4 linked regions of the Caenorhabditis elegans genome follow. The protein of the gene in region 3 interacts with the protein of the main gene of each other region in a pairwise test. Each region holds a gene or a part of one and is shown on either strand. Other genes may lie near its edges.

Region 1 (7,100 bases), on a different chromosome or scaffold from region 3:
GTCATAATAATTTTGGCAACTGGTGGGCATCCGGTGTATAGAATATGATCGAATCGCTCTTTGAGCAAATCGGTAGTCTCTGGGATACCTCCGTTCACGACAGTCACGTATTTTGACTCGAAATACTTTGGAATGAGCTTCTCAAAAGTTGCGGCAACATTTTCGGACAGTTCGGATGGTTTGATCACAACTGTATTTCCGGCGGCAATTGCTGGAACCATTGGGAGAAGGATCATAGAGACCGGATAGTTCCATGGGGAGATGATGAGTACAACTCCTTTTGGATCTTTCTCAATTACTGGCTTATCGAGAGCAGTTGTGAAGGTCTTCTCAACGTGGGTTGGCTTCACCCAGTCATCAATGTTCTTCAAGAAATAGTCAATCTCTTGAATGGTCATTCCGATTTCTAGAATTTCAGTGGATTCATGGCGCTGAAAATGTTAGAAATTTGAATTTTATACTTGAAAATTCTAACTTACTCTTCTCAAATCCTTCCAAACAGCTTCTGACAAAGCCTCGCGGTTCTCCTCGATAAACTTTTTAAGTTTCAGAAGTTGTTGTTTTCTGAATTTGACTGGTTTTGTCTCTCCTGTACGGAAGTACTTGCGTTGGGTTTCCACTAGTTCGGTGAATGCCATTTCTGAAAAATCAGCAATGAAATTGAAGGAAAATTAAATTTATAGCGAGCGTTTTCAGAATGGTCAACGTGACCTTCAAGGGTCAGCCTGGGGTTATATACTGCCTAGTTATCATTATCAAACGCAGTTGCCTAAATAAATTTTCTGGTAGATGATGTATGTTTCATGAAGGACAGAGAAGGCGGAGGGGGGCAAGTCAACGAAAAAAAAACGATATTCGGAGACGAGAAGGAAGCGGTCAGAATAATGATGATCACATGACGACAGTCGCGCAAACAAGTAACCAATCATATAGAGAAATGCCAAAATATTTTAATCGCCGTTAGCAAAATATTTCGTGAAATTGAAGTCTAGAAAACTGATGAAATCTAAGTTTCAGTTATCAACTGCCGAAATTTGGAATGATGATTTGTTGGAAACGTTTTTGTCTATAACAATTTAGATGTATACAACTCATTGAAACATTAAAATACGTTCAGTATAAGAATTTACGCAAATCTAAAAACAATAGACATTTTACAAAGTTAGTTAGGTTTGAATGATGTCACTATTTCTATTTAATTGGGAGGGTGGAGATTGTTTTCGGGTATAGTGTGAGATCTAGGCGCAGTTCAATTCAGTGATCAACTTGTGGTCAAGTATGTAGATGAAACTTCATACGACTTGACTCATTTTATAGATTGATCTCAAGTCTAATCTCGAAAAAATGTTAGATTTATGTTTTCAACCGTAACCTATCATTATTTTAACAGACAGAAAGTTCGACCAAAAAGAAGATAATTATCGATATAACCGTCGAGAACTTGGATGTTTCTCGGGAGGGAAAGGGAAACTTCAAGGACGAAATTTCACGGCGTTGTTTTGTTTGCTACTAGCTACAATTTCTCGGCACTGAAACAGGAAGAAAATGTGAAAAGGAAATTGTAGAGTAAACAGTTGTGGAACTGTAATTTCGGATTGCATGTTTGTTCTACACACTTCAGCAAAAAGTGACCCTTTGAATAGGCTGCACATGGTATCAGTTGTGGGAAAATGTATGATAAGAAAGAAATGGAATGGAGGCCATGTCAATAATTTCTTCTTTAAATATAGTTTTCTCAATTTTTGGAATTAAATCCATAATAGAAACGTTTTTAAAAATACAGTTTCAGGTTTTTGGATTAGGAGATCAAAAGCGAAACATCCGAACCGGGTTCAATTTTAAAAGTGAACCTGATCCCGATTGGATACAATTCTTGCGGCAAAAGTGTAGCCATCGTCCACCGGACACTGACACAAACGACCACATATTGTTGAAATGGGGGGGAGTTGGAAGAATGGGAAAGATAGAAGTGAGCAGCATGCTAGAGTGTAGCTAGCGTTAGATATTTGGACAAGACAATGACTATGGCGAACACACAATTTCTCCAACATCATGTGATCATTGACTCTATATTTATTGGGACACAAAAAATAGAGAAAAAAATAGGAAAACAATATTACAAGAGGGAGACAGACAGATGAAAAACAAAAAATTAATGCAACGACTACTTCGTTCTCGGCATTTTGAAGACAGGCTGTAGCTCTTCGTCATCTTGATCTTCTGGCTCGACTGCAGTTTCTTGGAAAATCTTCTTTGGCTGTGTCTTTCGATACGCTTTATCAATGTACAATGGATTCTCTTCGGCGTCTTTAGCATGTTTCAGGATGCTTGCACGAACATCGGTATCTTTTAGGAACTCGGCATTACGAGCAGTTCCGATTTGCTTTGCCAAATACGAATGAAGACTTCCACCACTTGCAGCCACACGTCCATTTGCGCTCTTTCCGTTGATAGGCATATCTGCAGGCTTCCGGAACTCGGGACGAAGCTTGTTATCCTGCATTCGGAGATACTTCTTGATTCTCCATCCAGTGACTTCCTTTTCTTCTCCTTCCTCTCCGCGCGGTTGGAACATTTCGAGGGAAAGAGCTGAAATATGAAGATAAATATTTTTCGAAAAAAATTGTTTAACTTACGAGAAAGAACCATATCTTCTCGAACAACTTCAGATGCGCGATTTCTTTTGAGTGGCTTCGTCACACATGACATAACTCCTCGCTGTGACATCGTTTGATCGTAGTACACGTGAATGGTGCCATCCGAGAGTCCAGCGATAATTTGATTCAATCGCGGGTGCCACTGAATTCGGTGGCACGAAATTCCAGGGTAATCAATTTTATAGACAAGATCAAATGTCATTGGATCAAAGAATTGTAATGTTCCAGGTGTATCCTTGTTGGGTGACGATGTACCAGTGAAGACAACCTCGGCACGAGGGGAGAATCCGCAATCAGTACTACAAAAAATATACTTATGGTGAAGTTTTTAATAGAAGGATACCTTTTGAAAGCGTTTTCGAGACCGGTTTTCACAAGAAGCGGCTCTTTTGGGTTATCTAAGCTCCACATCTTCAGAGTGTCATCAAAACCTCTAGACAGTAATCTCTTTGAATCGGGCGAAAAAGCAATAGAAGTAATCGAGCCGTTGTGAGCTTTGCGTACAAGGTAATTTACATTGACCTAAAATTAAAATATGAGAATAAACAGTGTTTTTGAACTTCAACTTACATATTGCGATCCATACTTCCATGCTTGAACAGATCCGTCATCACAACCGGCGGCAATCCATTTTCCGTCAGGAGAAAACGTGCAAACTTGCGGGCTGACACGTTTTCCATTAGCTCCTTTTGTTTTGATGACTTTCCTGTGCTTGTTGATGCATTTGGTGATTACTTTATGATCATCGAGGTTCCATAGTCGTAGACTTCCATCATCAGAACAAGAGATAAACTCGTTCTTGTTTAGTGGATTGAATTCGACACAGTTAACTGTTGCTGTGTGTCCTTTAGTGATGTTTAAATCAATAATATACTGATCTCCACGAACTGTTTCAGACCATTGTTTTCCTGCTCGATCCAGTAGGCGAATGATAGCTTCTCCACTAGCTACTACAAGAGTTTCGCCGTTCGGAGAGAATGCCAGGGAATTGATAACGTGACTTTCTGCAGGCAGAAGCTCTTTGTCGTATCTCATTGACATGTCCATTTTTTGAAAATCGAACAGCTTCACGTAATAGTCAAGCCCTCCACTGGCAAACCGAACACCAGGAGGCTCAACCCGAAGTGCACTGATGGCTTGAGTGCCATGGCTGATCTTCGCTTCACATGCAGCTGGAATCAGTTTGATGATGGAGATTGCTTCTGTCTCGTCAAAATCGCTATCATCACTATCTTCGGGACCTTCAGCTCGAGACGAGGAGGGGCCCGCTTCAGACTGTTGCATTTGGAATCCTGGAGGTAGATCTGGCATGAAATCTGGAAAAAACAAATTTGAAATAATTAAAACATTATATTCGGCTTACCATCTTCATCATCAGATACAGCTGAAGAAGAAACACCAGATTCTGATTTAGAAGACACCGATACCGACTGCGGAACGTGAGTTGGTTCCTCAGTTCTGGGAGCATTGCTTATCGTTTGCGCGAACATTGCTTGGAGGTCAAAGACGCGTGCCTTCTTTTCAGAATTCTTTTTTGGAGCCGTATTATCATCCATTGTGGTGATCTGAAAGAATTATTGAAATTCGTTTTCATCTATTAGGCGGTAACGGGAAAAAAAGAGTTAATAACGAAAAGAAACGTGTAATACAACCAATATAATGAACTGCCGTGGTACATATATAATATTTTGGCGAAAAAAACTAATAAATTCTGGAAACAGTCCTGGAGTTCTGATGAAAGCTGAAAAATGTTTTCGAATTTCGAACATTGAGGACGTGGCTGACTTGTTTCGGAGACTAGGCCGCGGAGAAAGTGTGGACAATCGGACATTACTTCGCGCCGAGACCCTTCCACAAACCGTATTCGTGTTCCTTGGCACCATTTAAATTCTTTTCCCATTTTCAGTTTTTAAAGTTTTTACGCGTCATCAATTATCGATTTTTGCAGTTTAAATTGTTCAGAAATGTTTTATTCATCATTTTGTCATTGCTCAGAGAAAACGAAATACATTTTCTTCTAAAAAAATCAAATTGAAACCATTGCAACATGTTGCACAATATTCTAATTTTCCATCACAACTCTGTGCAATGTAGAATAACCAGTTCTCTATAAATATCTTTTTTTTCGCATTTTTGAGTTTCTTCCCCGAATTAATTACTTTAACTCTCTTTTCGTGTTTTATATAATACAATTACAGGTAATCGGTGACGTGCAGCACAAATAGAATATGAGCGCTCCCGCAGCAGGTGCTACCGCCGGAGGCGATGACGCCGCCGATAGAAATGTCGAAATGTGGAAAATTAAACGGCTCATCAAAAGTTTGGAATTAGCCAGAGGGTAACTATTTTCGTGAAGCGTTTATTTTACATTTGTTTTTTTACAGAAATGGAACTTCTATGATTTCGCTGATCATTCCACCAAAAGATCAAGTGGCTAGAATCCAGAGAATGTTGGCCGAAGAGTACGGAACGGCATCTAACATCAAGTCTCGTGTCAACAGACTTTCCGTTTTGGGAGCTATCACATCAGTACAGGGAAGATTGAAACTCTACAACAAAGTCCCACCAAATGGATTGGTCGTTTACTGTGGAACAATCATGACCGACGAAGGAAAGGAAAAGAAAGTTAACATTGATTTTGAGCCATTCAAAGCAATCAATACTTCATTGTATCTCTGCGACAACAAATTTCACACCGAAGCTCTTCAAGGTATTTCTAATTTTCATCATGCATCATAAAATATACCATTTTTCAGGTCTTCTTGCTGACGATAACAAGTTCGGATTTATCATTATGGATGGAAACGGTTGTCTGTTCGGAACACTCCAAGGAAACACTCGTGAAGTTCTGCACAAGTTCACTGTCGATCTTCCAAAGAAGCACGGTAGAGGAGGTCAATCTGCTGTCCGTTTTGCTCGTCTCCGTAATGAGAAGCGGCACAATTACGTCCGTAAAGTAGCTGAAAATTCGGTGGAACAATTTATCAAGAACGACAAGGTTACAGTTGCTGGACTTATTCTTGCTGGTAGTGCAGATTTCAAGACAGAGTTGGGACAATCTGATATGTTTGATCAAAGACTTCAAGCCAAGATGATCAAGACTGTCGATATTGCTTATGGTGGTGAAAATGGTTTCAACCAAGCTATTGAACTTGCTGCCGATACGCTGGCAAGTGTTAAGTTCATTCAGGAAAAGAAACTGATTGGTGGATATTTCGATGAAATCAGCCAAGACACTGGAAAATACGTTTTCGGAGTTAAAGACACTCTTGCCGCACTTGAAATGGGAGCTATTGAAACTCTCATCTGCTGGGAGAATTTGGATATTGTTCGGTACAAGATGAAAAATTCACTCGGAGAGGACATTCTTCTGAATCTGAGACCTGACGAGGAGAAGGACAAATCTCATTTCACCGACAGTGAAACTGGACAAGATATGGAAATTATTGAGACTATGCCACTTTTGGAATGGTTTGCTAATAACTACAAGGTGGGCGCTCGCTTTATCGAAATTTAATTTTTTATTAATGTTTTGTAGAACTTCGGAGCAGCTTTGGAAATCGTCACAGATAAGTCGCAAGAAGGAGCCCAGTTTGTTCGAGGATTCGGAGGTATCGGAGGATTGCTCCGTTATCGCGTTGACTTGGCTCATGTAGACCTTGAAGACGAGCTCGACAACATTGACCTTGATGACTATTGATCACGGGCGGCAGTAGTGAGCCATTGGGCGCCATACTCGTTTCTTTTGTTATTTAAGCTTGTATCCTCTTTTTTCTTTATCAATCTCTTCATAAATTATCCAGCATTGTCAAATTATAATATTTCCCTTTCTCAATCATCATCATCATTAATTGCTATATCCCATACCACACTTTATTCTAAGTTTCTATTCCATTTCATCGAGTTTGCGCCCCGTGTCCCTCACTACTGTCGTTTCGTTTGGTCTGTTGATGCTTTTAGCTCAGCTGGCAAGGCATCTCACGTCTGCCAGCATACTGAAAAAGAAACGTTCCACGCCCGGAACGAAGATGCTATTGGCGGCTTGTTCAACCGGACAAAGGTGAGCTGATTTATCATGATTCTTTTAAAAATATCTAATATTGATCGTGATATTTTTTGTTGTTGTTGTTAAATTAACTAGGTTTTCACGCTACAACTAAAGTTGTAGTCGTAAACTTTATTTGAAACAAGTTTTTTTTTCAGGTAGAGGCACGGGCGACACACTCACACTCGATGACTTCAACCCTTTCGCTTCCTTCGGTGGATGTTTCTACTCGCAATTCCAATGACTTTTAATTGTCAAATTTATGGGTTTTTCTAGGTTTTCTAAAGTTTGTTTTGGAAATACCTAGAATTAAACCATTATTTTATTTTTCTTAATTCAAATTAGTATGTGGTTGAATCAATTTTGTATTATCGGTGACTGTAACTGATAAATATGTT
Region 2 (8,547 bases), on a different chromosome or scaffold from region 3:
AACGATTGTTCAAAATTGAAATGTTTCAGTTTTGGGCTAATCTTAAGCGTTTATCTGCTTGATATCTTTTAATTAGACCGAAGTTTCAAAATTTTTAATATTTTTTGGCAGTTTGGTATTTTTATAGGACGCTACTATGTATCTAATGTATACATTATTCCATAACCTTATTCCATGTTATTATAGATTTTCGAGAAAAGCACTTACAATGTGGGATTTGCATTAAAGATATTTTTCTCCTCGACTTGCCGATTCTTACTCTGAAATTAATTTCTGAAGGTTTTCGAAACTTTTTTGATACAAAAACTCACCAATTTACCATCTTGAGTCAGAAGATTTTTTGTAGACATTCGGGGTGCGGATAGCAGAAATTAAATTTCTGAAAGTAATGAAAATTAGCTTCTTGAAACTAATATAACTTTAAAACTCACCACACATACAATACATAAATTTTTTTAATTTGTTTTAATCCAGAAAAAAATGGTGGTGCCAGCCACACAAGCCGCCGCAGGAAGACCAAATGATACCTCCGGGAAAAAATTTTGATAAGAAAGTAGAGGAGCAGAGAAACAAAAACAATGAAAAAGTGTGTAGCGGACTGCAATAAAATTTTATATTAATGTAGAGTGACACACAAAAAGAAAAAGATGCTAAACAGTTTTCCTTCGAACTTTAAAAATATTTTAGTTTAAAAAAAATTTGAAAAAAAATCAAGTGTTTTTGATGGTTCTGGTGTTTCATTTAAATGAAACTATACTGTTTTATTTCATCAGGCTTAGGCTTAGGCCTATGCGTAGGCCTATGATTTGGCTTAGGCCTTGGCGTAGGCTTAGGCTTCGGATGTAAGCGATATTCTAGAAAATTTTGACTATGATAATTTGTCATTTTGGGATCATAGGAGTAGTTTTTAACAATTTCCCCTTTGGTTTTTTTGGATTTGGTCTGGCATGCTGCCACTGAAATGAAATTTCACAGGAAACACTGGATATCTAAGGCCAGCACTTAACATTGTTTTCATTCTTGAAAGCTGAAATCGCTAGTCAAATAGCCATCCAAGGAAAACACAACAAGTTTAAGGCGGGAAATGGCGCAAGTGGACGTTCAAAGAGAAGACCTTCAAATGAAGTTAGGCAGGCAAGTAGGCATGCCTATCAATAAAAATGTAGAGGGTAGTATCTAGTAGTATTAAGAAAACTTAACATTCCTATCCTTATAATCAGTAATTGCCAATTTGGATTGTTAATAACTTTTTATATTTCAGAGTCAACTACTAGAATTCTATTTATACGCGCCTATACCAATTTCCTCTACTGTGTTTTTCAGTACAAACGGAACCTTCGCTATCGTAGCGGATAAGTCTGAAGCATCGCTTTTGAAATTGAATCCGTGACCACTTTTTTGCCTAACTTTTACAAAAAGCCAAAGAAGAGACATATTTCTACTAATCAGTTGCCAATTATATACCTATTTCAAACATTCGCTTTATTGAAATTCAACTTTGAATTTTGAATGAGCAGCAGTCCTGATAACAATAGAAAACTACCCGTTACAAGTTCCTGGGCAGACCATAAATAAATTCACAAGAAGGAGCAAGTTGGAGTATAAAAAGAGTGGTTAAAAGGTCAATGAACAAGAATAAAATACAAAATACTCGACATGAAATAGATATATATCAGTACAATCATTGATCTCTGGGTGGGTCAAAAATAGATTCCAGCCATTCTCGTTTTGCATTCAAGTATCTGACAGGATCCGATTTCCGAAGATATACAAGGAGACACGCATCAGCAATTGAGATGATATTCTTCTGTCCGATACACTCCTTCCACAACATGTAGAGCATATTGGTGGAATCTGTGGAGCTGCTCGTATCGTCAAGCCGAGCCTGAACGAACTCGAGAGCAATATCTTTCTGAACTGCAAGGTCATTTGGATTTCCTAAGCAGGCTTCAGCAAACCGGAGAAACCATCTTCTGAATATATTTCGCACAGGTGGAACCCTTGGATCTGAAAAAATTTACGTTTTTCAAGATTAAATATGTCTTATCTTTCTTACCATCGGCATAAGGACCATCCAATCTTGGAATTGTCTCGGTGCAAAAATAATTCAAGTACAGCCATCTTTCAGGTGACATCCCGTGAATATTCAAATTCACTTTCAAGAGTTGTGTCTTCTCTTTGTAGTGAGCATCAATATAATCATTGAAGTCTTGTTGAGCTTCCAGGAATGCCGTCAAGCTATCAGAAATACGAGGTGGTGGTGAAGTTGGAGGTGCATCTTGAGAAGAATCTTCGGTCGGGTTGGCTGACTTGCAAGGGAGTGGGGCAGGCTGACTGAAAAAAAAATTAATTGTACTTGGAAAGTATGTTACAGAAATCGAATCAAGCTGTGCGGCAAAAATTTATATATTCTGAGGAAATTAAATTTATTAGCGGGCTCGCAATTCACCGTTTAGTAATTATAATATCAAGTGATTAGACTGGGCTCCAGGGATGTGTGGAAAATCTCAAAAGTTGCCGAGCACTACTAAATTTTTGGCGACAAAATCCATAGCTTTGATCAAAATTGTCTGAGCTCGGCAAACGGCAAATTAGGCTAATTCGGCAAAGTTGTTTCGGCAAAACCGTACAAATTTGCCGCACACCTTCTGGGCAATAGACAAAAGCAGAGGGCTTTTTGCGGAGTTGTGCAAGATTAATGCTCTATTTTTTTACTCGAGAGGTCTAGTCTTGACCTCAATCTACTCAACTTGCACATTATTTTCCATATGTTTGATCCACGATTTTTTGAGAATTCAGAAATTTATATAATACGAAACTCATTGCGAATTTATTGATTTGGGCCTTACCTGGTGGCTTCAGAGGACCATCTCCCGGCTTGGTTGTTCACTTCAGCCATACGATTATCACAATTGATTCCACTTCTTTTCGGAGTTGGGCAACCATTACAATCTATGGAAACTGGATTTCCGGTACAATGAGAGCTGGAAAAGAACATTTAAAAATGTTGTTTGTTCTTTGTAGTTCCATACCTTTTCAGTCCATCAAGCCCTGGAGTCAACTTTCGAGCGATTCGGTTTCCTGAAGTTGCTTCCTTCCCAGAAACCGTGGCGGAGTACATTGGTGACTTTGTGAGTTTCGAATCAATCATGCCAAGTGACTTGTCAATCTTTGAAGACCTGCAATACAAACATAATGAAAAAAGCAGCTCCAAGTGTAAAACTAACTTGTTGGATGCTGTCAGACATTTTTCTCCGATCAAAGCCTTCGGGCTTGTGATGATTGACAAGGAAGGTGTTCTCTGATCCTTGCTGAAATTCAAACTTTTACTAAATACTTCACTTTTTATCACTACATACCTTGAGAAAGCACGTTTTGTAGATTTCGGCTTCCCAGGGTCCCCATGAAGTAAACGTCTCATTTCCTCAACGTTGGCATCAAAAGTTCCTGTCCACTTTCTTCTTGAGATCTTTGGAGGAGAACTCGGATGTGGACTTGGTGTGGGTTCGACATCTTCTTCTACAGTCTCCAGCGTCACGTCAAGACTGGCGAGACGGGACGCACTACGAGAACTTCCACGACGATGTTTCTGCACTGAAGTTTTCTTCGAAAGATTTTCTGGCAGGGTTCGATTGTTTACATCCAGAAAACTGGAGTCGAAGTCTTCACCAATTGAGCAATTTAGATCACTTCTAGCTGGTAATGTCCGATTCAAATTGCTGCATTCTCCGTGAGAACTGGAAGCTGAGTGCAAGTGTTGTCCGATCTTCATGCTGACAATTTCCAGTAACTGTTCCACAGAAAGTTCGGTGCCGTCCTTGCTGAACACATTGGATTTCAGATTACGTTGAGCAGCTCCTCTGGAAGAGTTCAGTTTCTCCGCCACTTGACTGCCAGCATCCTTCGTTCCGCGAGACTGTTGTTGAGATTTGTTAGTGACAGATTTTGGACCGTTTGCAACACCATTGGAATCTTCTATGAACACGTCGTCAGACAGTTCATTGTCATCTGTGTTGTAGAAAGCACGATCCTGGACATTAGTGCTCCCATGTGATCTTCTTCTATCGTTTCTTGATCCTTCTTGATGATGCTTCCTTGTTAAAGCTTCATTAATAGTAAATCCGGAAAAGCTCTGGTTCAAATTCCGCGGCTTGAAGACATCATGCTGTTGGCCAAAACTAGAATTGATCGAATTGATAAGCTCATTTCCAAACATGCCTCCATATCTCTTGTCCTTGTGATCTCCAGGAGCTTGAACTCCAGCTTGAGCGTTGAAGCTTTTATTTCCATGAAGTTGTTGGTAAGCCTTGGTTTCTTGTTTCTGGAACCCAGCTGGAACGGAACTCCCACTGAATGACACATTCCCAGCATGGCCATGATTGTTCGATCCATCCGAGAAGCTTCGGCCAAGTTGTCCATTCGGACGGCTTCTACTGTGCCCTGTATTTGACTGCTGAGTGTTGTACTGATAAGTGGAAACTGACAAGTTCCGTTGATTCCAGCTGGAGTTATTGCGTGTCTGCGAGTTTTGACGGAAGTCTGCAGAGAACACGGGGGCCGTTGGAGGAATGCTCGATGAGTTGAAGACGTTTCTGTTAGCTCGAGCTGCATTCATCGATTGATTAATCGAGTGATTCAACTGGTCGCCGTTCATGGAAGGATTCCCGTTAAAAGACACGGATCCGTGGTGAGATCTGCCACCATATCCACGGCTTGTTGACTGAACACCGTCTTGCTTTACGAACGAATAAAACAATTCTTCAATACTAATGTGGTGTCCCATATTTTTCGATGCACTTTCCAAATTGCTTCGACTATGAGAGCGGTGACCTGAAATTACAAATTGAAGAAAAAAATTGATTTAAAAAATGCTTACCTTCTCTGTTTCCTCTGGAGTTTGGCAGATCACATGAGGAAAGCTTTGAAGAACTCATACCTGCAACAAAAAAAACTTAATGAAATATTACAAAATGTAAAAATGTAAAAATGTAAAGAAAATAATGAGGGAGAGAGGAATTAATGAAAACCGGTGGGACCAAAAAGCAAGAATGGAGACCTGTGAGTGAGTGAGTGCGAGAAGTGAGAGAGTGAGAGAGGTAGAGAAAGAGAGCGCGAAATAGTGTGTGGGGAAACGGTCAGGGGAATGCATGCGCGCGGCAAAAACACAGTTAAAATGCGGCAGGGGTATTACCAAAACAACACAAAACGTTTGTATGGTACCGGCTGTTTTTCAAGAGTATTGGAGGTTTGAGGAACAGTTGAGTAAAAAGTCGGATATTGATAGTTAATTCTCTGGAATATTGGTGACCGGAAAGATAATCACTGAATAAAACACGAGAAGAAGAAAAATAAGGAAAAATCTTTGGTTCCGTGTACTTGTTAGTTTAAAGGTGGAGTAGCGTTTGTGGGTTTTTTGTACCTTAATGACAAAATAGAGTTTCAATGTAAATATCGAATAAAACTGTAAAAAAATTCCGAACATTTTCTTTGAAATTTTATGATTTTTTTCAATTTTGCAAAAAAAAAGGGCCGAATTATTTTTCAATTCCAGCGCAAATTATTGACCTGATCTTTGACATTTTTCTTAATATTTTCTTTGATTTAAAACTTAAAACTTTAATTTTTCACAGTTTCATACATTTTTCAGTAATGTTTCAGTAAAGTAAGTTAAAATTAATACTGAATTATCGATTTTTAGACTAATTTCAGCGTTTCCAAGTGAGCAGCCAATTTTCTTTACGGAAAAATGTCTGAAAATGTGGCAAGTAAAATTTCAAATTATGACACAAAGAAAAAATGAAGAAAACTCAAACAGTTTGCCACGTGGGATCAAATGAAAATCTTGAGGACTGTGGTCGATAACTTCTGCCAATTAATTTTCTAGACTGTCTCATGTTTCAATACCAAAATGAAATCATTAAATACTGCCAGGTTGCCCCACGTGGCAAAATTTTTTTTTTTTTTTTTTTTTGGTTTTTTTCTACAGGTCTTGCCTGGATAAATGCCGTATGTAAGCTGTAAGACAGTGGAACGAACACTGAATTCCCATTTAAGGCTGGAAGGACCTAGGAGGTGGGGGTCGAACTTGTGACCTTGTGATTGCAAGCAGCGCGCATAGGCACTGAGCCATGCACCCCCCGGAAGCATGAGTCACTAATAGGGGTGGCTATAGGTCGACCTAGGTCGACCTGCGACCTAGAGGGTTAGGTCGCATCGCGACCTAGGTCGCATTGCGACCTGCGACCTAGCGACCTGGGTCGCTTTGCGACCTGCGACCTAGCGACCTGGGTCGCTTTGCGACCTGCGACCTAGCGACCTAGGTCGCATCGCGACCTGAATTACCGACATTTTGTTCTCTTTCGGTTTTGATTCACTTGAGTTGTTAAAATCCGTATAACTCGAAAACTAAAGATTGCAGAATATGTATGATATATTCCACTAACATTTTCTCTATTAAGATTTTATAAGTTTATGCGTAGTTTTTTTTCAAAAGTACGGAACAAAGAATTCATTTCTACAAATAAAACCATGCATTTCAGCAAATTTTTTCAAAAAGTTCACGTTTTTGTGGTTTTTGTTGTTTCTAAAATTTCATTTTCCACTTTTCGAATTAAAAACGTAGAAAAAAGCAGCAAATCCGGCGGATGTCGGCTGTTCTAACTTTTTTCGACAAGGTGTCTTATGGATGAGAAATCGAAAACAATGTAAAATAAATGATTTGTAGCAATTTGTTAGTATAAAAATTGTCGGTAATTCAGGTCGCAATGCAGTTTTCGAGTTATACGGATTTTAACAACTCAAGTGAATCAAAACCGAAAGAGAACAAAATGTCGGTAATTCAGGTCGCAATGCGACCTAGGTCGCTAGGTCGCAGGTCGCAATGCGACCCAGGTCGCTAGGTCGCAGGTCGCAATGCAACCCAGATCGCTAGGTCGCAGGTCGCTAGGTCGCAGGTCGCAATGCGACCTAAATGAAAACAGCGACCTAGCGACCTAGGTCGCACTCTTGCCACCCCTAGTCACTAATGAATTATATGAAATCGATCGCCGGAGAAGCTGCAAGCAGCATACAAAGGATCTTTTTTATTTTTTATTTTCAATTGATCTCTCTAGAGTGGCTTTTCTTATAAAATATTGAGACTTTTCCAAAGTCTCTATATGCGTTGTAACCAAAATTCCCAAACTGCCAAGCAAGTATTTATAATGAGTTCAAATTCGAAATGGGGAAATTGTTTTAAAACACGCCTATGTTACCACAATGACCGAATATCATGATAAAAAATTTTCTAGATTTCATATGATTTTTTGAAAATTGCAAAAATCTCAGTTTTCCTCTAATTCCTATTCGAATTTCCGCCGAATGAATTCGTTCGCTGGAGCGCACTTGCATTATTTTTATTAATTTATTTTATTTTTTCTCATTATTACACTGATTTTCTTCATTCTTTGTGTATTTTTATCGGAAAACAAGAGAGAAGATAAATGCAAATTATTTATTTAAAAATAACTGAGAATGGGTGAAACTGTGAAATAAGCTAATTTCAGGCTTGCTATCGTCGGAACTCATAATTTTACAGTTTTACCCATTTTCAGTGATTTTTAAATAAATAATTTGCATTTATCTTGAATTTTTCTCTCTTTTTCCGATAAAAATACACAAAGAATGAAGAAAATCAGTGAAATAATGAGAAACAATATAATAAATTAATAAAAATAATGCAAGTGTGCTCCAGCGAACGAATTCAATTGGCGGAAATTCAAATAGGAATTAGGGGAAAACTGAGATTTTTGCAATTTTCAAAAAAATCATATAAAATCTAGAAAATTTTTTTGAATTTTTTATCATGATACGTAAATATACAACACTTATTGCTCACTTTTTTGTTTTAATTTTTTGTTTTTCATTCAATGGTATCTCATTCTTGCTTCTCATTTACAATGTTTTCACCGAGAACGTAAAATAACAGTTAAGTAACCATTGAAATCCGAGTGGAATTTGAACTTAAAACAAACAAAAAAAAAAATTGAATAGGAGTGTGCGGCTGACTGATTTTTTCGGCTTTCAGCTGGTACAGCGAGCTCTGCTAAAATTTTTACTATCCTATAAATTTTCTATCAGACGAAAATTTGTCGGTCGGCTGTCGGTTGGCTTTACCAGCAATTCCAATTTATCAACTGAGTAACTGTCATTTTTTGACAACTTTCAAACTTTTTTTGTGAAAAGTTTTACATTATTATATTCGGTCATTCTGGCACCATTCGTGTGGTTTTGAACACTTTATTAACTACAACTTTAAACATTTAAAATCGTTTTCCAATGAGTTGAAAACTCAACACTCTCCAAATTGAAACTAAAACTTTCACAGGGTGGTCCATAATTATGGCGACCACTTTGGGGCACTGTAACTTTTTTTTGGACAGCGAGCAAAAGAAGTGAATATACACATTTTATTGGTTAGAAAAAAACAAACTTAACGACATATAATACTTGATAGTTATCACCACCTACATCCGCACAGAACACAAGACACTCAAAAATCCGAATGGC
Region 3 (6,761 bases):
CAACCACAACGTTTCCTTTAACAAGAAACGCCGGATTGTACTTAATCTCGGGACGATTCACTTCAACAAAGCAATCCGTCTTGAAAGCGTAGATAAACTGCTCCATCTTCCCGGTCATTGTATTATACCCGAAGAGCACGAAATCTTCGAGTAGGTCACTGTAGACAGCGTAGTACGGAGAAATGTGCTTCTCGGTGAGAATTGGTTGGCATATGAGGCATTTGTGAGGGATCAAATCACCAGCATCCGTTTTCTCATAGCAAAAGCGTTGTCTGTTTGGGCGAAGAACACTGACCACGTGGATAGCAGTGGCAGGGCACTTTCCGAGTGCAAACTTCGGTGGAGGTGAAGGCGCTGGATTGGAGGTAAGAGCAGAAAGAGGTGTCATCTTGGAGATTTTTCTGGAATTAAGGTGTAGTTAGATTAAGAATAATTGAAAACGTATACAAATGCAATAAAAAAGTGATAAGTGAAATTACCAGGCGCGATTAAAAATAGGAGTTTAAAGGAAATTTAGAAGTATAAGAACCACTGCAAAAAATCAAAAATGAAAAAGTAGTGAGCAAAAAGTGTTGTAGGAGTTAATACAAAACGACGAGTGCAACAGGACATATAAACGTATCAAGTAAAGTTTATCGATTGGTAAATGCTCCCGCCAACTCCGCGTACAGAACACCTGGGAATAAGCAATCAATACAGATTGTTGTATAATACTAGGCGGGAAGATGCACAAATTTTGTGGGCTAGAATTTAGGTAAGGCTACTGCTAGGGCTGAAAATTAAATAAAATGAATCGAAAATATGAATCTCGTAAATCCACAAGTGCGGTACGGTTTTTATGGGCGATGCCTTTTCTGACGAAAATTTCGGCGTTAAATAGGATTTTGGGATTTTAATAAATTAATATAAAATCACGGAAATTTTTTATATTTTTTTCACATCGATATTTGGTATCAGGGGCATAAATAGCGTCTTTAGTCCTCCTTTGTGTTAAAATCAAGTTTTGAATAAAACCATCAAAGTACAACTGATATTTTTTGTCCAATTTTTGGTAAAACCACAAGTAACTACAAGATACACTTTTAGAAAAGGGAACTACGGACATATCAATTTCAAGAATACATCATATTTGAAAAAGGCAAAAAGGAAACAAATACTGTAGTTCATAGCCGAGAACAAAAAAATGGAAACAGGAGCTCTAGAGACTGACTAGAGAAAAGAAAAACGACCTACTAGAGGCGATGCAGGCAGACTGAATGATGTCTTCTGCTCTTCAAGACAACTCAGAGCATCTGGAGCAAACGCTGCAACCAATTTAAATCGATACTCAGCTCTTGGGATACCAGATTCGGGAAAGAGGTGGGAATTGGCAGATGTTTTTATCGACTGATGTAAGATTGAGACGACTACCAGGAGAAGATCTACAAACGAATGTAGTATATTGATGGTTTTTAACAAAATTTCTGGGAACTGATTTTACAGATATGGTAAATCTCAACATGTTACGGCTGCTGATCTAATAGAAAGAATTATCGGCAATCTGAACAGAAAAGTATCCAAGATATGGGCGGAGCATGAACTGAATATGGCACCGCCCATATCTTGGCTACATGTACTTCTCACATTTCTTCATAAATTTCTCCTATACTCCCATTATTAAGACAAAGCAAGGTCAGCTTAAATTCCCAGACACTGAGCAAGGACGCGATCCACCTGAGAGTAATTCGACCAGGGGTGGACGGCAAATGATTTTTTGCCGGAATTTGCAAATTGGCGGAAATGAAAATTTCCGGCAAATCGGCAAATTGCCGGAATTGAAAAGTTCCGGCAAATCAGCAAACCGGCAAATTGACGCTTTGCCAAATTTGCCAGAAAAACGGGCAAATTGTGGTTTTGCACATTTTTTTTGGAAATTTCAGAATTTCGATTTCACTCAGCAGACTTTTACGCATCCTATGAATGTTCCTACATCTATTTTTAAAAATAAGCAAACTCTATGAATATATCTAAAGAAAACGGAATAAAATTTCAAAAAGGCACAGTTTTAAGTGCTTCTGTCATATAAAAAGCCCCTCTAAACACTTCCGGCAATTGGCAAACCGGCAAACCTCCGGAATTGAAAACTTCCGGCAAATCGGTAAACCGGCAAATTGCCGGAATTCAAAACTTCCGGCAAATCGGCATCTTGCCGCTTTGCCGAGTTTGTCGACAAAAAAATTTGCCGAACGGCAATTGCCGCCCACCCTTGAATTGGACTACAAATGTGGACAGAAGATTCATAGAATCAGAGAAAATTACATCCATTTGCCGGATTTCTTTTGGAAACGTGCCCCATTTTAATTTGCCTCAAAGAGAACCTGGCAATCCCATTCTAAAAGACTATGACGTCAAGCAAGATTTTCAGCAATGATTTTTTTCCCGCCGTTTCTAAAGGCACACAAATTTACAGTTGTCTTTTATTTATGGAACATCGGGAAGAAAAATGAGACCGCAAGACAAAATAAAATAAAAAAATATGCAATTTAACAAAAAAAACTAATTTTAATCCAAATCCTCAAATCTGTTCCAATTCCTTCTGAACATATGGTGGCAACGATCCGCCGTAGAGAGTTGTCAGGCTTTCCACGAATTTTTGTTTGAGAATTGACATGCCATCGTCTGAAATGAGTATATTTTTAGAAAAATGAATAATAGTATGGATTAAGTGTTAAGGGTTACCTGGGGCATCCTCCGGAATATCTGGAGAAGTTGAGCAAGATGGGCCATCAGAAAACGGATCATCACAAAGACGGATCTTCTCGACCAAGACATCCAACTCTTGAGATTCTTTGGATGCCTTCTTCTTGGACTTCTTGATCTTTTTGGCCTTCTTCTTCTTGTCCATCTTCTGCTTCTTCTCCATAAACTGAGTATCAAAACTCTTGATCACCGAATTGGGAACCTCCACGAAATGTTTTTTGATCGAGCAATATACCTCCTTCTTCAGTCTTCCTTGTGCACCCCTCATGATCACTGTTGTCCCTTTGAGAACGAAGAAGATGCTCGAAGTCGGATCCTGATCCTTCGATGAGTCATACTTCAGCTCTGGCTGATTCACTTCAACAAATCCCTGAATCTTCGAGTCGAAGACATATTGCTCCATGCGATCTGTGAAGGAGTTGAAGACGTGAATCACATAAGCCTGAATCTCTTCGCAAAACTCTGCATACTTGGGGAGAAGATCCACTTCTCTGGTTGTATCCGGACACTTCTCACAGTCGAGGATCTCGAATTGACTGGTGCTCTGATTGTATATGTACTTTTCATAATGACCACGGCTGGTGATAATGTAGAGAACGTACATCTGAAAGTCTTGGCAGAATGTGGTTTTAAATGCTGGAAGTGTTTCATTGTAGTCAAGATGTTCAGAACTGAGGGAGTCGTTGTCAGACCATGGATCCGCGTCATCAAATTCTTCGGCGGCCAAGAGTTGAACCTCAACTTTTGGCATTTCCACGCACTTCCCAAGTCTGTACTCCAACTTCCGAACTGCTTCGTTTCCTCCACGCTCGATCAGAACTTTCTTTCCATCAGAGTTCTCAATCATCACAATAAAACTTGATTCCGTGAATTTTTCAGCCGAGTAAACCAACTCCGGATAGTCGACCTGCTGGAAGCCACCAGTCTCGAACGAGTAGACATACTGCTCCACCTCTTGCGTAACCTCATTTCTCATAAAAATCACACTTCCCGAGGCATACATCGGTGACAGGTGATCTTCGAGGATCTTCACTGCACAACTGGAGCATCTGTGTGGAATGAACTTCCTGATTTTTAGGTCGAAGATGAACACATTGTAGGTTCCATTTTGACGGGGTCCACCAATGATGGGAATCTCCATGATCGGGCAGAGTTTCATGAGGATCCGTGGAGTTGTTGGAGGAGACATTGGAACTTGGCGCTGAGTTGGAACAGCACATGGATATGCAATGAATGACATGACAAGTAGAGATGATGATCTGGAATTTTGGAATTATAAGGATTTCAAAAAAAAAAGAAAAAGAACGTCAGAACTGGCAATGAAAAGAAAAATTTATATATTATTTCAAAGTAAAGTTTGTTGGGTGCACTAGAGGACAGTAAGTAAGTGAAAACCCAGCTCAAGATTAGCAGAATTTCAGATTCCCAGGCGACAATTGTTTTAGTTTTGAACAGTTTTTTATATATTTCTCGTCCAGAAAATTAAGAACTTGCGCAGGAATTCCAATTTCAACCGACTTTAAAGATCCGTTCTCTAACAGTTTAAAACGAAACTTTCAAGTATTTTTTCTTGAAACAGTAAGTTCTTAAAAAAGTGAAAAAAATTAAACTTAAATATTCTAGAAAAACGCTTTCGAGGAACTTCTAGAACTAGCATAATTTTCAGAATGATAAGTTGCGCGCGCAAGGTCACATAGATTTGACTACCCCGTTCCCACATCAGCCAACGGATTAAAAATCAGTAGATCAAAGTTTTACGAGTGTTCTTTTGACATTTTTTGGCACCTAAAAATTAGGTCAATTTATTAGCCTAGCGGAATGGAGTACCGAAACAGTCTAAAGGCGCAGGATTACTTTTGAAAAAAAAAAGATTAATTGCAGAACCATTTTTGAAGTGAAAACTACAAATTGGAATAATTTAATAAAAATGGCTCTTATAGAGGAGAAAAGGGAAAATTCATAAACTTACAATTCGAAAAAAAAGAATTGGATAAAATAAAGAAAATGAAAATGAGAGAACAGGAAGAAGAGACCGACAGTCTACTGCATAATGACCTTTTGAGCAAGGCCCGCGAACATTTACGACCACCGTCTGCCCGTCTGCGTCGTGCATCTCTCGTACAGGCTATCCGTGTTTTGTTGTAGATCGACTGGGAGAGACAGTGTTTGTGTATGCTATAAATCTGTAAAGAAACATCTCTGACCAAACGAAGGATTATAGAAAAAAACAAACCTAGAAAAAAACAAACCTAGAAACCTTCTCAGGACAGTCCTTGTGTAGGAGGACTGCCTCTTATGGGGACTTTGATGTGATGTGCTCCAAGTGATAACATTATTAAATTAAACCTGTGAGAATTCGATGAAAAATTTTCTTCTATGTTTGATATTTCATTTGCTTTGTTCAAAAAATTGAGATGAGACAAGTTTTATGCGTATTGTTTTAGTGCAGAAACAACATAACTTTTTAGCGTCTTGTTCTTGAGTTTCAGAAAAAAACCGGCAGAAGCAACTTCTACTCGACTTCAGCTACACAAAAGACGATTCAAGGAGGGTCAAAATGTTTGTTAATCATAGAACCTTCCAGGAGTCGACAGAAAAAACACGGGGAATGGTAACTAGCAACTGAATGAGCACGGAAAAATTATTATGTTATACCTACAATGCCTATAGTTAATTGGAAGTTTGAGCACAAATACTGCATTTTAAAATAGTTTTTCCCTTCTTTATTACGGAAATTTGTAAGACCATTATTTTATATGCAAATCCGTTAATATTTTCAAGCCTATGAAGCAGTCTTTAAGGTTTCAAATACCGTATTTCCTCTATTAGTATTGCACCCGACTACTTAACTTTGAAACGTTATATCTCGGTTCATTTTAAAGATATCAATATATTATTAGTTACAAAATTATAGAAAAAGAGCTAATAAATATTTTGTTAGTTGACAATTTTTGAATAAGGCAAACGATAACTGAGATATAAGCTTTCAAAGTTGATGTGAAATTTAACATTTTCTATTCCATTCTTTCCTTGTCAATAAATCCAAAATAATTGGAAAAAAACCTCATGAAACAGCAGCAAGATCCATTTTTTGACCAAAGTACCCTAGTTTCAGATCGATATACCACTGTAATGGTCAACAATCGATCGGAATGTCAATTGACAAACAGATGCGTACACCTAAACTCCGCCCAATTGTCGTAGTTGCTCTGTCAGATCGACAGTACACATTTCTTATTCATTCATTCATTCATTCATTGTACCAGCACACGAAGAGGTTGCTCTTTTCTGATTTTGTTTCATGTTTGTTGCCAGTTACCGTCTTGGTAATTTATGATTTTTTTTGTGATTTTTCAAAAAAGAAGTCGTTTTTAATTGTCTATCAAACCTTTTTGAACTCAAAACTCCTATCAAAATGCAAAGAAAATAACTTTTAGGGCAGAAAACCCTCTGAAAAACAGTACATCGTACATTGACAATACTTTTTGCTCACTTTGTTCCATCCTTCATAATCATGTTTAATTCACTATCCTCAAATTTTGCTGTAATTTTTTCTGCCAACTCTTGGGAAATTCCGTGAATTTCAAACATTCAGAGTCTCTTTATGTACACTATTATCGGAAATTGAAAAGTGAGCAAAAAGGGTTGTCGATTTGCTGGTCCCTCCAGGTCCATGAAATGTCTCAAAATTGCCACAAAACGGACAAATATCATGCCGATACTTTAAAAAGCCCGGAATTTTTCACAAAACGTTACAAAACGTATGTCTTTTGGGAAGTTCAAAACGTCTGAAATCGTTCAAAAAATGTAGAGTTTCTTGAATTTCACAATTAACATTCCTTCAATTTTCCTGCAAATTTCTTGCCCTCATGTCCACTGTGAGTGGTTGAAAAAATCAAAAATCCCTTAAAAAAGCATTCCTACAATCATTTTCCTTTTTTCCCTCATCTAATTCTGAAACTTCACACTTCATTTTCCAGAAACATCTCCAACAAGCCATGTACCCTCAATACCCAGCTCAA
Region 4 (7,582 bases), on a different chromosome or scaffold from region 3:
GGTATGCTTGATAAGTGAATAATGGATTGGGAAGTTGGCGGAAGTATTGTTTGAGTAATGAAGAGACGGAATAAATGTCTCTTTGACCAAACTCGTGGAGATCTGGTTCAGCACCACTATCGAACTTTGCTCTTCAATAAAAGTATGTTTGTAGATACTTTTTTAAAAAATTACCTCAGTCTCTGAATATTCGATTGAATTCCACACTGCCTATAAATACCCGTGACAATTCCTTGATCTTCAATAGAAGCGCAGCATTTCTCCACAATTACCGGTACTTTTTTGCCAGTTCTCATATATAGATCTGTGAGCTCAAGCCCAAAAATAGGTTCTCGTCGTCGGTTACGGAACATTGTGGTCATGTATCTTCTTGCATTTCTTGTCGATGCTTTTTGCTCGTTGTTCAATGGATTAGGAAGGCGTTTGTCATCAATGAGCATCACGCAGTCGCGTGGAAAATAACCGATCTGGAATTATTTTGTCAGTTAAGCAGAACTAATGGGTAATATGAATAGTCTGAATTTGTGAAAAAGATATATTTGTTGCCGGAATTGGAAACTTTCAAAAAATTAACTAATGCATGTATATGATATACATCACATTTGAGTAGCAGTCTCAATTACTCACTCGTTCTTTGTTAATTACAATTTTGTTTATTAAAAAATCTAATGACAATTTAAATATCAGATAGTAAATATATTTAAAACATAAGGTACTTCTGGAAGATCAATTTAGACTGAAGCAGAAGGCATTGAACGCTTGAAAAAAGTAAAAATATATTTATGTCTTGTGCTTTTTAAATCAGAATGGGCTCTTAGAAAAGATGTTGAACAAAAATCTTCGTATAATTACTTAGCATTAACCAAAACTTTTGCAATTTTAAGTTCAGAAGAGCCAAAGGCACGTTGATACAACATTTCCAATTAATAATAATTAAATAGACTTACTTCAAAACCTAGCCGTGCATTTTGCGGATCTACAATCTTCTGGTTGGATATAGTCAGTTTTGCTTTCCAAAATGTTTGCTCGCTGGGACTTGCTGTTGACATTTCCGTAATTGAGACGATATCACCGACCTGCAATGTTTTTGTTTACACTTGTAGTCGCCGGGCCAAATTTGAAAGATACCCGCAGTCGCAGCTGTGAGCTTTCGGTCGGCTCAAAATCCTTTGTGACTACTGCAGCTGCGATGGCTGGCACGTTGATCGAAGTTTCTTCAGCTGGTTCAAAATGTCCGCCACGAGAGTCAATCTGTGTTTTCAGAGATTATGCGCGTAAGAGAAATAATGAAAGGATTGTCGAAATTTAGTACAACTATAATTCCTATTAAATAAAATAGCTATATCAATCGAAATAACTCAGAAAGTTTAGTGAATTAGAAAGAATTGGAGTAGTTCATTCTGGAATGTTTGTCTATGTAATAAAAAGCGTGTAAATACTTATTTATAAAAACGATTATTCCGCAGGTTTGAAAAATAACGCATGAACGTTTTCAATTTCAACTGAAAACGTTTTGGGCTACATTTAGAAGATCGTAATTTTTTGTTAAGTGATAGTTTGAGAGAACAGTTTCAGAACTGACTGAAACAAATGCAAAAAGAATGAAAAAAAAACTTGTTTGACGAAGTCCTGATACTAATGCATAATGTAGGTGTGCATTACATTGTACATATGTTTTGCAATAAAAACAAACACAGAAATGAAATATGCACTGCAGTTAAGAGCGAGTGGTGTCAAAATCATAAGAAGAACAAGATATTTTTTCAAGGTTGTACTAGAACTCACCAATTTTGTGAGAAAGGTTCAAATAATTGAATAACTCTTTGAAATACAGACTTACTATTCTGTCAGAAAGGAAAACAAATTTTCCTATCTGAAATGTTTGCAATACTTGAAATGAAATATTTATCGTCTTGGGTTCATTTGGTTTATTCGAATCTTTTTTAATTTAACTTTTCTAATTTGAAGAGATACTGTAAAAAGTCTAAACCATAGCCAGTTTTAAATTTAAATTAAATTGAAGTTTGGAGTTAAAAACAATTTCGCTTACTTCTAAAAATTTCAGAACAGGATAGCACGTTATAATGCTGCCAGTGAGTTCCGATAATCGCTCCGTATACTTGACAAGAACTTCCTGTAAACATCAAATGTGATGACTAGTGATTTTGAAAAGAAGCCGTCACCTCGAACTTTGCCGTTTCCAGATGAATAAGAGGAAACAGCTCGTCAAGTCGTGAATGCCTTCGTTCGAACACACAACGATGCAGCTGTCTGTCGAAGACTGCCCAATCCTCCCGAGAACGTTCGACAAGCCTGAATGAATCAATGATGGAAAACCTTTCAAGTTTCCGTTTTTCTTTCTTTTTTCTTTTTTGTTCTTCCTCGTACTAACTTTATTCAGCCTTTATTCTCATCTCCCATGAGACTTCACTCGTGGCTTTTTTGTTTGATTTCTGTGTGGCAGAACATTGAAAGAAAAACCGAGAGAAACACCACGGAGCACGAATTTTTGAAGACAAATTGGAAACAGAAGGAATGACCAACTCACCATGAATTTGATTCACTTTCCACACGCATTTTTATCCGCTCTGTTGCATTCTCGTCAGCGTTTATTGCGATGATGGCAACACGGACGGGACCCAATTCAACAGACGAATAATGGAAGTGTTGACAGTCGACTAGTCGTTGAATGCGAAGACTGAAACACAATAAATTGTTGATATTCAACGAAATAAACAGTGAAGTAGTATATGAATTATTTCCAGCTAGCAAAATTTGCTTCTTTCAAAAATTTTTCAACTCACAAAGTTGATACTAAAACATTAATATTCCAATTAAAATGTTTGTGGTGAAGAAATGTAAAGATATTTTCTTGAAAGAACGCCGCAACATATCTACCAACCTTATCAGCTTTAGGAATGCATTTAGTGAAAAACTGGCTAAAGTTGGGTAAAATAAATTAAAGTTGGGGATGCGCTGAAAACTTTGCACTGAAAATGTTTCTATAGTGGCCTAAACTTGGTTAAAAAGGGCTGAAGTAGTTACAATTATTTAATGTACAGTTCGAATTATTTTTCTTTTAATGGTTATTCTTTGGTAAAACTTGATTTAATAGTAAAAAAAGGATATTGCCCCGGGCGGGATTCGAACCCGCGACTGGTTTAACCCAATGAGATCATAAGTCTCACGCCTTCGACCGCTCGGCCACCGGGGCACTGATTCTGAAAAATGTGCATCTCGTTGAAAACTGCTTGAATTGCTAAAATTGGTGGATAATTTGATGCGAATTGCCGAACGCCTGCCATTCTTGTTGTAACGGTAAAAAAAATAAATTTTTGATATCAATATTTTTCAAAAACTCACAGTACTCGATGTTGCACTGTAACCAATAGTAAATTTTTTATGTACAACAATACACTTCATTATTTTTCCAATTTTATTGCACTGTTTTATCTGGGCAACCGATAAACACAAAAACCACCTTTTTCTAAATTCACCTAACTAAATTTTTTGCAAATAAATGGATATAATGAGGGAGACCGTAAGTGAATTTTTTGATTTATAAACATTCTACTACAAATTCAACATATTTTGTACCCTGGTATTTCTGGATCCATCTTTGCAAGTAGTCAGTGAATAGATAAAGTCCAAAATAAAGTCATTCAATCAATTACATGAAATATTGAGATGGAATAGATAGGAGCCGAGAGGTCTCTCCTCAAGGTTCTGTTGGTGAGTGTGTAATCCCACGCTCACTACATCGTACGCTAGCTGCACTCGCCGGTCGTGGCGGTAGACAAGCGGATAAGCGATGAAACATTCAATTTTGATTGGGATGAAAGGGGAGAAAGAGATGGACCAGAGAGTGATTGCAGAAAAATCAAATTGCAAAATGTGGGCCACTGGTTAGATTTATGGAAGGACATTTATCAAAAGGTTGTTGGAAGCAATTCAATGTTTCGAAACGTTTTTAGTAAAACTGGAGAATTTTAGACCTTTCACATAGTTATTTTTCAAGAACAAAAATACAAGACAGGTCTGTATTGCAACTCTTAGAATTGCTTCAAGACGTCTTGGTAAAAATATTTATTTTAAGCAGATTGTAGAATCAGTTGTAGCACGAAGAAAAAACAAACCAAACTGTTACTCTTCTTTTAACAATTTCTTATGCATATGATGTGAATTGTTGTTTTTACAGTAAAATTGAAGTTGTCTACATAAAATTAAATTTATGTTTCAAATATACTTTGAAAAAAAGTTCCACAACAGAAGGGAAATTACGTTACACGATGGCCCACAATTATAGGCCACCCTGCATCATTAACACGGTGCTTAAAAAATTATTATACTTTTTTTGAAAGCTTTTGAAACAAGTTGGATGAATCTAAATGTCGGGTTTCGCCCGTTTTTCTCTTAATTCTTTTCCGATTAGCTCAAATGGTTAATTCCAGACCTCAAATCTTTATTCAAAATATCTTTTGCGCAAGCAAAGATAAGTATTTTGAAAACGAAATGTTAAATTTGAGTGCATTAGGATTCTGGCAAACCTAAATCATTAAATTTTTTAAAGTTTGAAAATCTAAAAAATTTCGAAAAATCTACCTTCTTCCGTTTCTGCGTGCAAATGGGCTTTTGGGAGATAAAGGTGCAAATGATTCCTCGATGCCTTCCATTTTTTACATCACTTTAAATGAATACGTTGCTTTTCAAATGTTTTTACCAGTTTTTGTTGTCCTCGTTATCCTTCCTGAAAATGGCAACCGGAAGTCATGAGAATAAAAGGTAAACGTGTGGTGTTTGAGGAAAAATACATGTTATAAACACACGCTTTGCTTATAGATCGGTTCGATTATTTACATGCAAACATCATGTCAATTTGTGTTGGCAAATGAGAAGTGACGGCTTTTAGTTAGGAAAGCGGGACGAAAAGGGGGCAATCAGGAAAATCAGTTAAATTGTCGTGTGACTGAAGGAGTAAATATGGGTTCTGTTTGGAAGTTGTCAAAAATTGAGCAATGACATAGGAAGGCAGGCGTTGTTAGGAGCCAACAACCAAGAATCTTCAGACATGTGTTAAAAAATCATGTGGCCAGAAACATCTTGTTCGAGAGTTTTAGGATAAAACTGAAGATTATGATTAAGATTTTAGATATATATGTACCTCGTTTCGTGATATTTGAAGATAAACGTTGTGAGGAAGTGAGTTTCTGATGTTGTAACTTTTAAGTGGAAACTCTATTTTTGAAATTAAAAAAAGAAGGTTTTGAAGCCATACACTCAAATTTAATATGGTTCCAGAGCAAAATTTATCTGGATTATTAGAAATTTATCATAAAATTTAAAAAGGGTCGTATAATTCTACACAAAAAACCAAAACTAAAAATAAAATAAAGCAATTTATATTTTATATTATATTCTTTATGCTTCTAAACTTTTGATTAAATATACACAAATTTCACATAATTTTCTCGGAAAATGTGTTGTTTTTTAGAACACATACAATTAACGTTTATCACTCGACTGGGTAGAACAAAAAACGCAAAAAGAAAAAAAGCTCAGGTTGGTTCCAAAAATTCATCAACACTTGTGACACCTAGCAAAAAAGATAACCAAGCTCTTCAGGGGCAGCAGCCAACACGGATCCGTGCCGGGTTTCCGGTTTTCTAACGCAGTGGACAGCTGCTGTTGTTAAGGAGGAGAGAAAGTACAAGCCATTTGAAACCAAATTCTAGGCACAACAGGTGTCAGGATTTTCATGGATGGTTAAGGATGAGAAAGAACTGGTTGAACGATTGATGCTAATCAGTATGATTTTGAGTCAAAAATGATAAAACGAAGGGTTATTAGTGTGTTATATTTCCGGACGCTTCATCTTCTTCATCTTCAAAGTTTCGGTCTAAAGATAAAGAAGATAGCAACGGGTCCCGAGTTTCTCTCTTCGTCTCATCAACCAATCTCCGTCGTCTTGTCTCTACGTATCACAATTCTGGCGAAGCACACACACACACATACGTTCTTCTTTTTCTACCCCTATGCTCTTTAGCTGCTGCTCTTCTGTGGAGCACTCGATACAAATCTACCACCTGACACTATCACCGCATTGGGTGAGACGGGCTTGCTGGTTCAAATGTTCTTGCAGACAAAAATGACCGTCATATGCTCTAGCTTCTTTTTTTTCAACTACTCTTTGGTAATTTAAGAAATATGGATACCTAAAGTTGATCTGACAATTAAAATGTATTTGTGCAAAAGGGAAAACAAATTGTTAGTAATATTATGAGCTGTAACTTGTAAATAACCTTACTAGAACATATTATATAGTGCCAGAACAATTGTAGAAAGAATTACCGTGTTTCCTGAATCAATCTTGCTTGTAAGACAAATTTTGGATTGACCCGTAGAGGTGAAAGACTAATAAAGACTGCAACACTATTAGAGGCTGCAAAACTAATAGAAAAAATACGGAACTCATTTTTTGACAAAAAATACAACAAAGTTCGAAAAATGTGTTATGACAAAAAAGTTACCAACATACCAAATGTTAAGTATTTGTGAAGTCTGGGTTGAAAAAAAAGCTCAAAAAAGCAAAAGTTTGGCATGTATATACAATAGACAACTGGGACTTTTCAGGTAGTAATTATAAGAAACCACAAATCATCAAATTTTTTGTAGGAAATTCCAAGAAAAATTCAGGTTTCATCAAATTGAAAATGAAAATTGAATGACCTTATTTCAACATCTAGCTTTCAACACTTGATGTTATCGTCTTACACGTCTTCGCAAGTGACACTTTTTCTTGAGACAATCGTCGTTTGATCCCAATTATTTATTAAAGCCCAATTCATTCAACTCATAGATATAAATGCATGAAAAAATATTGAAAAGTGAATTATCATACTGGTAGACTTTGATTCAGAGAGTAGAAAGAAGAGAGAACCAACTGATGACAGTCACAAATTGACACAACAAAATAGGGTAGCGCGAGTTTGAGCGAAAAGGAGAGCGGTTTGGCGTTTAAAGCAATAAAACAAATCTAAAATTTTGATAAAAGTGCCGGTATTCCATAGGAAGATCAACAGGGAAATCAGAGTAAAACTGGGGTAGGAGATTATGAGGGGAAAAATGATAACACATATCAGCTAATCAATTTTGCAAAGTACATTATTATACACAACTGAAATATACAATTTGTACACACAAATGCTGGAGGTCTATCAAATCTGTTTATGACATGAAATCTAATAATTAGAGATCTGTGAATGGTGTTTTGACGTGCGGGTGGTCGGTGTCGTGCTTGAGCACTTTTACAAGCTCATCAATATAATCGCGATGCTTTCGACAGTAGATGAATGAATCCCACATCATTGTGCATACATCCAAATCGCTAGTTGAAGAAAGAAATATATTCTGAAATAAAAATGTTCATTTATTTTTCAAAAATATTTTACAGCTAAAATTTAGAGAACTATTTCATAAACTGCCAATAAATGTTTTGTGACACTGATGAGATAAAGGTCGAAAACATACTTTTGATAATGGTGCGGAGAATCTGAAGAAAGGGATTTCCAAAGAGTCTGCCCAT

Evidence for each region.
Region 1: the proteins of T04D3.1 (region 3) and gad-1 interact in a two-hybrid assay, tested with the Caenorhabditis elegans proteins (one large-scale study listed by BioGRID).
Region 2: the proteins of T04D3.1 (region 3) and meg-4 interact in a two-hybrid assay, tested with the Caenorhabditis elegans proteins (one large-scale study listed by BioGRID).
Region 4: the proteins of T04D3.1 (region 3) and rrc-1 interact in a two-hybrid assay, tested with the Caenorhabditis elegans proteins (one large-scale study listed by BioGRID).

What each region holds. Positions count from the first base shown.
Region 1 is NC_003283.11:6,429,275-6,436,374, forward strand, and holds gad-1 (Gastrulation defective protein 1), read right to left. Parts: upstream 4,223-7,100; 5' UTR 4,214-4,222; coding exon 4,021-4,213; intron 3,974-4,020; coding exon 3,228-3,973; intron 3,180-3,227; coding exon 3,001-3,179; intron 2,957-3,000; coding exon 2,637-2,956; intron 2,590-2,636; coding exon 2,165-2,589; 3' UTR 2,046-2,164; downstream 1-2,045. Other genes in the region: alh-4 (Aldehyde dehydrogenase), read right to left, coding at 1-431, 480-638; erfa-1 (Eukaryotic peptide chain release factor subunit 1), read left to right, coding at 4,886-4,995, 5,042-5,367, 5,414-6,147, 6,196-6,357.
Region 2 is NC_003284.9:1,679,343-1,687,889, reverse strand, and holds meg-4 (J domain-containing protein), read right to left. Parts: upstream 4,937-8,547; 5' UTR 4,935-4,936; coding exon 4,877-4,934; intron 4,831-4,876; coding exon 3,360-4,830; intron 3,312-3,359; coding exon 3,228-3,311; intron 3,180-3,227; coding exon 3,033-3,179; intron 2,985-3,032; coding exon 2,850-2,984; intron 2,335-2,849; coding exon 2,057-2,334; intron 2,008-2,056; coding exon 1,682-2,007; 3' UTR 1,471-1,681; downstream 1-1,470. Other genes in the region: C36C9.11 (Transposase), read right to left, coding at 208-260, 312-350.
Region 3 is NC_003279.8:13,300,314-13,307,074, forward strand, and holds T04D3.1 (NTF2 domain-containing protein), read right to left. Parts: upstream 3,999-6,761; 5' UTR 3,980-3,998; coding exon 2,719-3,979; intron 2,659-2,718; coding exon 2,555-2,658; 3' UTR 2,446-2,554; downstream 1-2,445. Other genes in the region: Protein sepa-1, read right to left, coding at 1-388; sdz-30 (SKN-1 Dependent Zygotic transcript), read left to right, coding at 6,738-6,761.
Region 4 is NC_003284.9:9,826,538-9,834,119, forward strand, and holds the start of rrc-1 (GTPase-activating protein rrc-1), read right to left. Parts: upstream 4,752-7,582; 5' UTR 4,674-4,751; coding exon 4,603-4,673; intron 3,767-4,602; exon of another isoform or gene 3,618-3,766; coding exon of another isoform or gene 3,598-3,617; intron 3,215-3,597; exon of another isoform or gene 3,130-3,214; intron 2,699-3,129; coding exon 2,549-2,698; intron 2,314-2,548; coding exon 2,184-2,313; intron 2,135-2,183; coding exon 2,051-2,134; intron 1,252-2,050; coding exon 1,129-1,251; intron 1,077-1,128; coding exon 948-1,076; intron 468-947; coding exon 175-467; intron 132-174; coding exon 1-131. Other genes in the region: ipla-2 (Intracellular phospholipase A2), read right to left, coding at 7,246-7,407, 7,528-7,582. UniProt on the Caenorhabditis elegans protein: Functions as a GTPase-activating protein (GAP) for ced-10/rac-1 and CDC42.